Linked DNA regions of Mus musculus. The protein of the gene in region 3 interacts with the protein of the main gene of each other region in a biochemical or structural test. Links are inferred from orthologs where the notes say so. Each region holds a gene or a part of one and is shown on either strand. Other genes may lie near its edges.

What was found. The genes of interacting proteins can lie anywhere in the genome.
Region 1: the proteins of Apoe (region 3) and Lrp8 form a complex in vitro, tested with the Homo sapiens proteins (2 studies listed by BioGRID). The link is inferred for Mus musculus from reciprocal best matches to the Homo sapiens genes APOE and LRP8.
Region 2: the proteins of Apoe (region 3) and Ldlr interact in a biophysical measurement, tested with the Homo sapiens proteins (2 studies listed by IntAct). The link is inferred for Mus musculus from reciprocal best matches to the Homo sapiens genes APOE and LDLR.

Annotation. Positions count from the first base shown.
Region 1 is NC_000070.6:107,868,202-107,871,767, reverse strand, and holds part of Lrp8 (low-density lipoprotein receptor-related protein 8 isoform a precursor), read right to left. Parts: intron 2,791-3,566; coding exon 2,618-2,790; intron 1,757-2,617; coding exon 1,580-1,756; intron 1-1,579. UniProt on the Homo sapiens protein: Cell surface receptor for Reelin (RELN) and apolipoprotein E (apoE)-containing ligands. LRP8 participates in transmitting the extracellular Reelin signal to intracellular signaling processes, by binding to DAB1 on its cytoplasmic tail.
Region 2 is NC_000075.6:21,744,019-21,747,584, forward strand, and holds part of Ldlr (low-density lipoprotein receptor isoform 1 precursor), read left to right. Parts: coding exon 1-45; intron 46-211; coding exon 212-367; intron 368-1,713; coding exon 1,714-1,887; intron 1,888-2,343; coding exon 2,344-2,421; intron 2,422-3,130; coding exon 3,131-3,288; intron 3,289-3,566.
Region 3 is NC_000073.6:19,696,352-19,700,572, forward strand, and holds the start of Apoe (apolipoprotein E precursor), read right to left. Parts: upstream 2,838-4,221; 5' UTR 2,660-2,837; intron 2,271-2,659; exon of another isoform or gene 2,173-2,270; intron 2,123-2,172; exon of another isoform or gene 2,053-2,122; intron 2,048-2,052; exon of another isoform or gene 1,903-2,047; 5' UTR 1,880-1,902; coding exon 1,837-1,879; intron 1,297-1,836; coding exon 1,128-1,296; intron 753-1,127; coding exon 29-752; 3' UTR 1-28. UniProt on the Homo sapiens protein: APOE is an apolipoprotein, a protein associating with lipid particles, that mainly functions in lipoprotein-mediated lipid transport between organs via the plasma and interstitial fluids.

The sequences.
Region 1 (3,566 bases), on a different chromosome or scaffold from region 3:
CCCCCCCCCCCCGTCCCTTACTCCCAGTTACTGGATGCTCAACTCTCTTCTGCCTCAAATGGCTAACCTATGGCTCTGTTCCCTTTAGGGTGAAATTCTTTCCTATACTTGTGTGATTGACATCTTCTCATGCTCCCTGGTCTGCATTAGTCTCGGAGTTCTGGGCAGGAAAGCCCCAAAACTTATTTTTTGAACAAGCGATCCCCTTTTCTAGGATGCACATCCCACGTTCCTTAGCTCATTGTGAGTGAACCCTGCCTGCCACTTTCCCCTTTCCTGCCGCCTTCCTTACATGGTGCTGAGAGCTGCATTACCCCCTCAGACTGTATGATTTGAGGGTGGCCTCACTGCGCTTTTCTAAGCCTTAGTTTCATCAGCTGTCAGTGAGGCTTGGATCTACTTCACAGGATGGGTGAGAAACCCAATGAAAAAATGTATCTGGAGTTCTGACATGCTAGCTAGCAAGTATGGTGTCTTAAGTAGTCTAGCGAAACCTAACCAGCATAAAGTAAGCATTTTCCAACTCTGGACATGCTACATATGACAAAAACAAAAACAAAAACAAAACAAAACAAAACAAAAGAAACCCATTGCCTTTTTTTAGATAGGCCCCTAGTAGTGATGGCAAAGCTACAGGAGAAAAGGACAGAAGATTGGAGGTTGGGAATTCTGATTTCCAGAGCTTGGAGGACATGTACCCCATGACAGAGTGGGGGGAACTCGGGCCTCTGTGCACTGCCTGGAGTTACTCCTGGTTCTGCCACTTTCTGCCTAGGATCTCGGGGAAGTTATTTAAATCCTGTGGCTCTCAGTTTTCTCAACTGTAAATGAAACTAATACTATCACCTCCAAAGGTAACTGTGAAGACTAAATGAGAAAGACATGACACACAGAAAGCAATGTCTGACACACTGTGCTTGCCAAATGTACTTTTGCTTACTCCATTTCTCTGCAACTAGCAGGAGCTTATCACACAGGACAGGGTTTCTCTGTGTATCCTGGTCCTGAAACTCCCTCTGTAGACCAGCAGGCCTTGAACTCAGATCTGCCTTATTAATCAGAGTTAAGTTCCCTGCATCATTTCCTTCCCTGGAAATGATGATTCTTTAGCCTAGACTGATTTGTAATTTACAAGATGCTCCTAAACGGTTTAACCTCAGGAAGCAGAGACTAGGGTTTCCACTCTCACCTCACTAGCAGAGGTAAGCAGACAAGACTGCAGGGCCGTGGGAACAGTGGGACAGAGCCATCTTCTCCCTCCAAGTTCTAGGCTTCCTGTGACCTCTGATCGCTAAAATTCTGTTTGCCTGCACTGGCCACGGTGACGGAGCCTCAGGACCATCTTCTGACCCTCACAGCACTGAACAACTTTGTTTCATACATCTCTCCTTTACAAACAGTTTGCTTCAAGAGCAGTTTGTCTGCCACGCATTCAGTAACATTATTCAGTAACATGCCGTTTCCTCTATCCCGATATCAAGCCTTCTAAAATCAGAAAGCCTGCTAGGATTTTCTATAGCTGCCTAGGTTTAAGGCCCTCACTCGCCAGCCCCTCAGGCTCAGAGTGGCACTGCCCTACCTTGCACTTGACGACAGGCAGCTCGGAAAGAGGGTTCTTCGGGAGTTGGTGAAGCTGTGACCTTGGTTCTCCCGGCAAGACAAAAAGCTCCTTGAGGGCAGGGGCTGGGTCTTCCAGGTCTCTGGTCTCCCCAAGACAGGGCTCTGCCCACAGTGGGCGATCATAGTTGCTGATTGCCTGACAGGGGGATGGACTGGATGACCTCTGAGGTCATACTCAGCCCCCTGACTCTGCTGTGCAACAACGACACCTGTTCTAACCGCTTCATAATCCTCGCTCCCCAACAAGCCACGCCCTCTCATGCCTCTTAGCCTTTCCACATGATTCTCTTTGGAATGTCAGCTCTATTCTTCCCTACCTGAAAATTACTATTTTTTTTTAATAAAGACACAGCTCGTGTGTTACTGGGAGTCATCCTATGCACTTGATCCCCAGACAAACCAGCAGCCCCATGGCTGTGCTTCTACACCATCCATCCTTCAGCATTTGTTAAAGCCAGCTGTGCTGTGCCAAGCCCAGGCAAAGAGACCACATCAGAGCCTGCCCTCAGGGACCCCACAGTCTAGTGGCCTAACTGCTAAGCAAAAGGTATGGGGATTGTGGATGGAGAGGCCCAGGAAACTGTGGGAGAAGAAAGCAAGCCTAGGAAGGCGTCCTAGGGTGATAGATTCTTCAGCTTCCACCCCATGGCACTGAGCATCTCTAACACCCCAGCAACGACTTGGGAAGCTGATGTCTAATGTGGGGTTTGGCATTTAACTGGCATTCAGAGCTTGTTGGAATTCAGCCAGTTACCCTTCTGCAGAAAGTCATTTGGCTGCTTAACTGCCAGGGAGACCCTGCAGGTAAAAGGAATCCTGACACTCTGCTCCTCCCACCGCCTGCTTCAGCATGGCTGTGTTCTCCCAGAGCCAAAACAGTGCCTGGTATGCAGGAGGTTCCTGATAACGTGGAAGGAAGGAAGGAAGGAAGGAAGGAAGGAAGGAAGGAGGGAGGGGGAGAGGGAAGGAGGGCGGGAAGGCGCTGTGGAGTACTTACTGCGGGGTAGACGTGGCCAATCTGAGCTGTCCTCCCTATGTGAAGCTCATCTTCCTCTTCCTCTTCTGTCGTTTTCCTGTACACTGGGTTGTCGAAATTCATGCTCTTGGTGTTCTTCCGCTTCCAGTTCCTCCAGATGAGGTACCCACTCATACATAGCAGGGCTATTACCACTGGAGGGAAGGCCACATCACACTGAACAACCAGGGGCTCCGGCCCAGCATCAACACCCATCTGCCCCCTCCCAGACCGTATAACCCCTTGCTTCCGGGCTCCATTTTGAGTCACCACTGTGTTTCTTTATGAATTCTTATCTGTTGTGACCTCTTTCCCAACTGCTCTGGGAAGACCCTGCCTCCCCCTTAGGTGTGTTCCCAGGCCACACGATTTTTAACTCTCTGTTCTCTCAATTGGACTGAGCTTTTGAGGGCTGTGCTAACTTTAAAAAAGTGATTTTTATCATTTTTATTTATGTGTATTTATGTGTATGTAGTATGTCTGTGTGTCTGTTGAGTGTATACATATGTACATGCATGTGCAGGTATGGGTTGGGACCAGGAAAAGGCATCCTATATCCTGGAACTAGTGTGACAGTTGGTTGTGAGCCAGTAGACATGGACAATGGGAAATAGACTCTGGTCTTTTAGGAGAACAGCCATCGTTCCTAACCACTGAGCCATCTCTCCAGCCCTGAGTGTTTGTTTATTCTCTGTGCTCATGTCTAATAGCTCAGCGACACTTGCTAAATGGCTGAGAAGTATTTGCCTACACCTGTACCCTAATGCTGCTGCTTTGCTGGAACTCTTAAGAAGGCCACCCTCCCTCCAAACTGCATGTCTTTCCAACTCTGAGGCCCCATCCAACAAAGAGAGTCTCTAGAAGAGGATATAGAAGGACAACACAGGTTTGAGTCAAAGACTTTAGGGCTGGTGAAAAATACCAAGCAGCT
Region 2 (3,566 bases), on a different chromosome or scaffold from region 3:
CCCCGGAGGACATTGTCCTGTTCCACAAGGTCACACAGCCTAGAGGTAAGCTCGGCCCTGTCCCAGAACTTTTTAGATTCTTCTGGCTTACTCTGAAGATGGGTTCAATGCGCTTCCTGTACCCAATAATAAAATTGTCAGCCATTTTTCTTGACTCTGCCCGTCATCAAATGTTGTCAGTTTATTCTCCATGAACTTCTCTTCCTCCCAGGGGTGAACTGGTGTGAGACAACAGCCCTCCTCCCCAATGGTGGTTGCCAGTACCTGTGCCTGCCCGCCCCACAGATCGGTCCCCACTCGCCCAAATTCACCTGCGCCTGCCCTGATGGCATGCTGCTGGCCAAGGACATGCGGAGCTGCCTCACAGGTAGGGGCACAAGTCCCCAGAGGTGGACCCGCATGAGCCTGCAGAGGCTGACCAGATGTCCAGCTGTCTGGAGACTCATGAGTGAGGTTCTCTGCCTGTCTCAAATGAAATTACTCTTAGGGGTTCTAGTTGTCTCTAAGCTCTGTGTGGACGTTGTCTGACTTCAGACCAGGGTATCTGGTAAGAAGACCCCTTTTTGCTGATGTCATCTGAGAAGGGCTCAGTTTGAAGTTGTCTCTGTCTGTGTCCTGTTGCTGAAGCAGATTCCCTGAGACTGGATACTTTATAAAGCATAGTTCATGTAGCTCTTGGGTTTGGATACGAGAGGTCTTAGCATCTGGTAGACATAGGGGAGGGTGTCACACAGTGACTCAGAGCAAATATTCTCATTTTATTTATTCATTTACTTAAAGGACTTTTTTTTTGGGGGGGGGCGCATCTTTTGAGACAGGGTTTCTCTGTGTAGCTCTGGCTGTCCTGGAACTCACTGTATAGACCAAGCTGGCCTCGAACTCAGAAATCTGCCTGCCTCTGCCTGAGTGCTGGGCGTGTGTGCGCCACCACTGCCCGGCCTGTTGTGTTTTTTAAGACAGTGTTACTCTTCGTAGCCTTGGCTGTCCTGGAACTTGCTCTGTAGACCAGGCTGGCCTTGCACTTAGAGATCCTCTGAAGTGCTGGGACCACTGCCCGGCTCACCTCATTCACTCTTAGTCACCTCTGTAAGGTTTCACTGCCAGGCATCCTACCCACGAGGGGCCACGGAGAAGCTCCTGAAGAAAGGTGCCTACCTGCATTTGATCCCGGAGAGCCCACTTGATAGAAGGAGAAAACGAAATACCAGACTCTGCTGTGACGGCCACATGACCTTAAATCCCCAGCACTCTGGCAGGCATATCTCTGAGTCTGAGGCCAGCCTGGTCTATATTGTGAGTTCCAGGGACAGCCAGGGCTACATAGTGTGACTGTGTCTCAAAAACAAACAAACAACAAAGTTTTTTTTTTTTTTTTAAATCTCTCCTCAGTAAGAATTTGGTGGTTAGGTTTCCAACATAGATTTTTGGGGTCACGCTGATCTCAGGGACCAAAGTGCACTCACCATTTGCAGGTCCTATTGTAAGAACAGGACACCAACACTCTGGAGACTGGGGCAGAGGGATGACAAGTTTGAGGTCCCCCTGGAATAATCCTCAGGAATGACACAAGGGACAGTGTCACCAGCTATTTACCCATTTAGTTTGCTCAATTTCTGATGCCATGGAATTTGGTGGCCTGCGTTCCACCCAGAGCAGAGGTGTCAGTGTGGCACCCGGCCCCTGGCCCTCAGGTCATGTTTATTGTCCCATCAGAAGTCGACACTGTACTGACCACCCAGGGGACATCCGCCGTCCGGCCTGTGGTCACCGCATCAGCTACCAGGCCACCGAAGCACAGTGAGGATCTCTCAGCTCCCAGTACTCCTAGGCAGCCTGTGGACACCCCAGGGCTCAGCACAGTGGCGTCAGTGACAGTGTCCCACCAAGGTACCGGCCAGGCCCAGCCTTCATTTCATAAGTACTGCATTTTTTAATTACAGTGATGTGATGTATTTGTGGGTTTGGGGAATTGGCCACTCTGCCTGTGGGGTCAGACACAGCTTGTGACAGTATGTTCTGTCCTCCTTCCATGCGGGGCTTAGGATCAAACTCAGGTTAGCAAGCTTGGCAGCAAGCTTCGTTACTCTCTGAGCCATCTTGCTGTGTTAAGTGTCTATGTGGGTACAGTTTCTGTGCAAATGTCTGGCATCTCTAGGGATCCTAGAACTGTCCCCTGTGTACACTGGAGGCCAGCTGCCTACAGACTAAGTCCACATGACTTTGTAGGGACCTTAGTAACATTCCCAGGTTCCCCTGAACTTTAACATGGTGTTAGACATGTCCTGCCCTGTCCCCTCTCTGATGTCTTTGAGCCTCCTCACCTTATCCTTTCCCTTTTTGCAGTCCAGGGTGACATGGCTGGCAGAGGGAATGAGGAGCAGCCACATGGTATGAGGTTCCTGTCCATCTTCTTCCCTATTGGTAAGTGTTGCCTGCAGTGCTAACCTGGCCATGTCACCTTTCTGACAAAAAATGGAATACCCCTGCCTGAGGGATGCCCCTGCCTGCCTCGAATCACTGCCCCCTTCTCACTCATTACAAATAAGATGGAGTGGAGTGTCCCTGGTGGTGGTGATGAAACACAACTTGAGTTTTCTCAGGGCCAGCCTGGTCTACATACAGACTTTTAGACCGGCAAGGGAGTGGGGTAGACAGTGGATTTCTTTCTCAAAAAATAATTGTGATCCTGTGTGAAAAAATCATGGTGGTTCATACCTTGAATCTTAGCATCCAGGAAGCAGAGACAGGAGTTTGAGGCCAGTCTGGTCTACAGAGTGAGTTTCAGGACAGCCAGAACTACACAGTGAGACCTTGTCTCAATAAATAAATTAATTAATTAAAAAGAGCAAAGTTGACAGAGAATCTCAAAAGTTAGAACCAGGGTCAGGCTATGGGGCCCAGGCTGGCTCAGAAGTCAGCATCCTCCTGCCTCATTCCCCTGAAGTGTTAGACTCCCAGTGAATGCTATACCAACACACACTCCCTTGGTTTTTTTCTTTGTATGATAGGTGAGTATAATTTTACATTCAAAACATATCGCTGTCACATGAAAGGGCCAGGATGGACATGCCGGTAGCTTCACTGGCACGGGGTCTCCTGAGAGCCCCTGACCAAGCCCCTCTCCCCACAGCACTGGTTGCCCTCCTTGTCCTTGGGGCCGTCCTGCTGTGGAGGAACTGGCGGCTGAAGAACATCAACAGCATAAACTTTGACAACCCAGTCTACCAGAAGACCACAGAGGACGAGCTCCACATTTGCCGAAGCCAGGATGGCTATACCTACCCCTCAGTGAGTGTGCCCTTTGTGGGAGAGATGAGACATCAAATGAGGTGAAGGACAGAAGTTAGGTGGAGTGGAAGGAGAGGAAGCCCAAACCAGGGGCATGCACAGCTCAGTGGTAGAACCTGCCTAGGCCCCCAGTGAGGGCTTAGGGTGTGCCTCACAGTAGCAGGAACATGCTAGAGCCAGCTGTATGTGGACCGGGGAGGAGGTCTCCTCTGAGTGGGGGTTGGGAATAGAGGAATCAGTTCATTGCAAAGACCTCAAATTGTGATAAGATTGGGCAC
Region 3 (4,221 bases):
ATGTTGTTGCAGGACAGGAGAAGGATACTCATTGATTCTCCTGGGCCACTGGGGTGATGATGGGGTTGGTAGCCACAGAGGCCTGTATCTTCTCCATCAGGTTTGCCCACTGGCGATGCATGTCTTCCACTATTGGCTCGAACCAGCCCTTGAGGCGGGCCTGGAAGATCTCCGCCTGCAGGCGTATTTGCTGGGTCTGTTCCTCCATCTTGGAGCGCACCTCCTCCATGTGCTCACGCACCTCCTCTAGGCGGTCACGGGCCTGGTTGCCCACTTCCTCCAGCCGCCCTCGGATGCGGTCACCAAAAGCCTGGGCGCGATCGCGCAGAGGCTGGGCGGCCCCAGCGCCTAGGTTGGCAGTGCGCTGGCGACCTTGCTCCACCAGAGGCCCCAGGCGCTCACGGATGGCACTCACACCGCGCTCGGCGCCCTCGCGTGCCCCTGCCTTGTACACAGCTAGGCGCTTCTGCAGATCCTCGGCATCCCGCATCAAGCGCTTGCGCATCTTGCGCAGGTGTGTGGAGAGCCGCGCCCGTATCTCCTCTGTGCTCTGGCCCAGCATGGTGTGCACCTCGTTGCGGTACTGCCCGAGTCGGTTGCGTAGATCCTCCATGTCGGCTCCGAGTCGGGCCTGTGCCGCCTGCACCTCTTTGCCCAGCCTGGCCCGTGTCTCCTCCGCCACTGGACCCAGCTGTTCCTCCAGCTCCTTTTTGTAAGCCTTTACTTCCGTCATAGTGTCCTCCATCAGTGCCCTGCAGGCCCAGAGGAAACACAGGAAGGAGATGAAGGCAGGACAGAAGGGCCAGAAACCACAGAGCAAGAGGTGATGGTACTCGCTTGTGTTCCCAGAAGTTGAGAAGCTGCGGCATAAGAATTGCAGAGCCTTCGAAGCCAGCTTGAGTTACAGAATGGGATCCTGTCTCAAGAAGCCAAAAGCCAATCGACCAAGCAAGTAATAAATGTCTGTTCCTCCCAGCATCCAGAAGGCTAAAGAAGGCAGGAGGATTCAAGGCCAACCTGGGCTACACACTAATTGAGAAAGGAAACAAGAAGGGGCTGGGGACCCAGATAGGAGGCAACCCTGGATCAGCTGGTGCCTGCCGAGGGTGAAAGAGCTGGACACTCACGTCAGTTCTTGTGTGACTTGGGAGCTCTGCAGCTCTTCCTGGACCTGGTCAGACAGCGTCTGCACCCAGCGCAGGTAATCCCAGAAGCGGTTCAGGGCCTGCTCCCAGGGTTGGTTGCTTTGCCACTCGAGCTGATCTGTCACCTCCGGCTCTCCCTCGGCTAGGCATCCTGTGTAGAGTAAGTTTAAGGCTGGGTCAGGACCTACAGTCTTTTTGGGTCTCTTTGAAGTGGGTCTGGAGGCTGTGGAGTCTGTTTAGATACTACAAGCATGCACTGTCTTGTATCCTATGTAGTTCAGAGCCGAGACTAGGCAGGTGTGGAATTAGAAAATGTATACCCCACTTTTAAGAGCAACTAAGAAATCAACTTTTTATTGTGTGTGTGTGTGTGTGTGTGTGTGTGTGTGTGTGTACCCTTGGAGGTCAGAGTTCTAGAGGGAATTGGCTCTCTCCTTCCACTATGTTGGTCTCAGAGTTAAGTCTTCAAGCTTTATGATAAGCACCTTTACCCACTAAGCCATCAATCCTCTTATAGTTAGGGGAAATCAAGGCCTAAAGAGTATATAAAACAGCTGCTCAGGGCTATTGAATCTCAGAGAGGTCTCAGAACCGCCTCAGCCTCAACCCACCAGCAGAAGAGATCTAGGGCTAGAATAGAGTCCACAGAGGAGCAGAAAAAGCGGCACCACAGCAAGTCCTTGCTCCATACCTGTCAGCAATGTGACCAACAGCACGGCCCACAGAGCCTTCATCTTCGCAATTGTGATTGGCCAGTCTGCGGAGGGAAAAATTGTCTTTGAACACCAGGGGGCGGGGGTGGAGGGACTCCGGCCACCCAGAGAACCCCATCTTCCCTTCTCAGATCTGTGAGCCATCACAAACATCTCCAAAACAGAGCACCCGCTCTTCCCAAAGGTCTGTTTACCTCCCCTTGCCGAGTTCGCTATCTCGGCACCCCGGGGTGGATCCGCTGCCAAAAATTCCAGCTCCCTCTCCTAGGGTTCAAATTCCACTTCACAGAGGGCCAGCGGGTGGTCCAGCTTACATTCCTCTTTCTTCCCGGCTAAGTCCTGCTTTCCATTTTGTGTTAATTTAACACGATTTTTAATCGTCCTCCATCCCTGCGAAGTGGTACCCTCCCACAACTACAGAACTTAGGGAGCTCAGCCATGAGGAGCCACAGTTTGAAACCAGTCCGGGTTACTTGGGGACTGTGATGGAAATCAGTAGGTATTTATATAAAAGCAGCCTAAGGCTCATCCCGAGTTTTTTCGCCATAGGATGGTTCCTAGTTGAGCCGGTACGCCGTGCACCGACAGTCCCGTACTCCTTCCTGGAGGTAACCCCTCCACCTGCTCTGACTCTGGCAAAGGCTAGTTACCTCGAGTCCTTAGTTTGTCCCCCAAGACTTCTATCGTGCTGCCTGCTTTTCCAATTCTTGTGCCTGTTTCCTGGACTCCGGGGGATCTCAAGGTTCCCAGCCCACATCCTACCAAGGTCCCTGGGTGAATCCCCAGCCCAGCTTGTCTTACCAGCTCCTTCCGAAACAAGTCCTTAGCCTCCAGGGTCTGAGCAGGGGATCGGATCCCAGACCGGTCCAATTATAGGACTCCCCCTGTCCCGCCCCCTCCTCAGGGCTAGGGCGGGCTGTGCCAGCCCCCTGTCACGAGGCGGGTTGTTCTCTCCCCCTTCACAGCAGGGCAGAGGAAAGAGGTGGAGTTTGGATGCCTTGTGACCCCCCGCTCCCCTCCCCCGCCAACAAAGGGAGCGGACACCTCATTGAATAATCCAGGCCTTGGTACTGGGGCACTGAGAACCGCTCCTTCCCTTTCCCCGCGGGGTCTGGTGCATTGTAAAGAAAAGAGCTGGCAGCCTAAATGGAAATGGGTGGGTGGGGGCTAAGAGGCTCAGCTTCTGGGGTGAAGATCGTTGTTCTGGGATCCCTCGTTGTTGATTCCTCCACCACAGGTGAACTCTTTCCATTCCAAGGCTGGGACGTGCTCCAGTTCCTTCAGGAGCTGTTCAGTGGTGGCTCCCGATGGGTTTGAAGCCATACATTAAGCCAAGCCCTGGGAAACCAAGCGTTGATGCTCCTGATCTGTTTCTGGCGATTGCCAGATGTGTCACCTTGGGAGGGAAGAGCTACCCCTACAGAGCACATTTTAAAAAGTTGTTTTGAGATAAGATTCTCAGGCTGCCCTCTAACCCACAAAGGTCCTTCTGCCTCTGCTGTAGCATGCTGGGACTGCAGGTGTGCACCCCTGCATGTGCATTTTCCACTCTCAAGCCACTTCTCTTTTCTTTTTCCTCATAAAAGCAGAAGAGCAGGAGCTGGAGAGATGACTCAGAGGTTAGGAGCACTGACTGCATTTCACAGGACCTAGGTTCAAAATCGCAGCACCCACACAGCAGCTCACAACTGTAACACCAAGATCTGCTACCCTCACGAAGGCATACATGCAGGCAAAACACTAATGCACATAAAAAAAAAAAAAAAAAAAAAAAAAGACAAGCCATAAGTCATTCACTGGAACATGGGTCTATAGTGCTAGCCATATGCAAAGCTGAGGCAGGAAGATCCCGAGCTCAGGTAATAGAATGAAGTCCTGGCTAAAAAGTGGAAAAGCCAGCTGGGCGTGGTGGCACATGCCTTTAATCCCATAATCCCAGCACTTGGAGGCAGAGGCAGGTGAATTTCTGAGTTGGAGGCCAGCCTGGTCTACAAAGTGAGTTCCAGGACCGACAGGACTACACAGAGAAACCCTGTCTTGAAAAACAAAAAAAAACCCAACAACAACAAAACCCCCAAAAAGTGGGAAAGCCATTGTACCTGGGAAGTCAGGTAGGACAAGGGGCTCAGAGACCACAGCAAGCTTGCTAGAAGCACTGCCTGCACAAGGTTCCCTGTTCCCAGCTGTTGATGGCAGGAGAGAAGCCACATAGCAGTGTTTGGCACCAGACACGGCAAAACATGATTCTGCAGGATGGGCAGAGGCGGAACACCTGGCTCCAAGGGTACGTACAGGGTGCCTGGCCAGGCCCAGGCCTGTTAGCTTTGGCTTCAGAAAACACTGGCAAGGACTGGGTGTGGTGA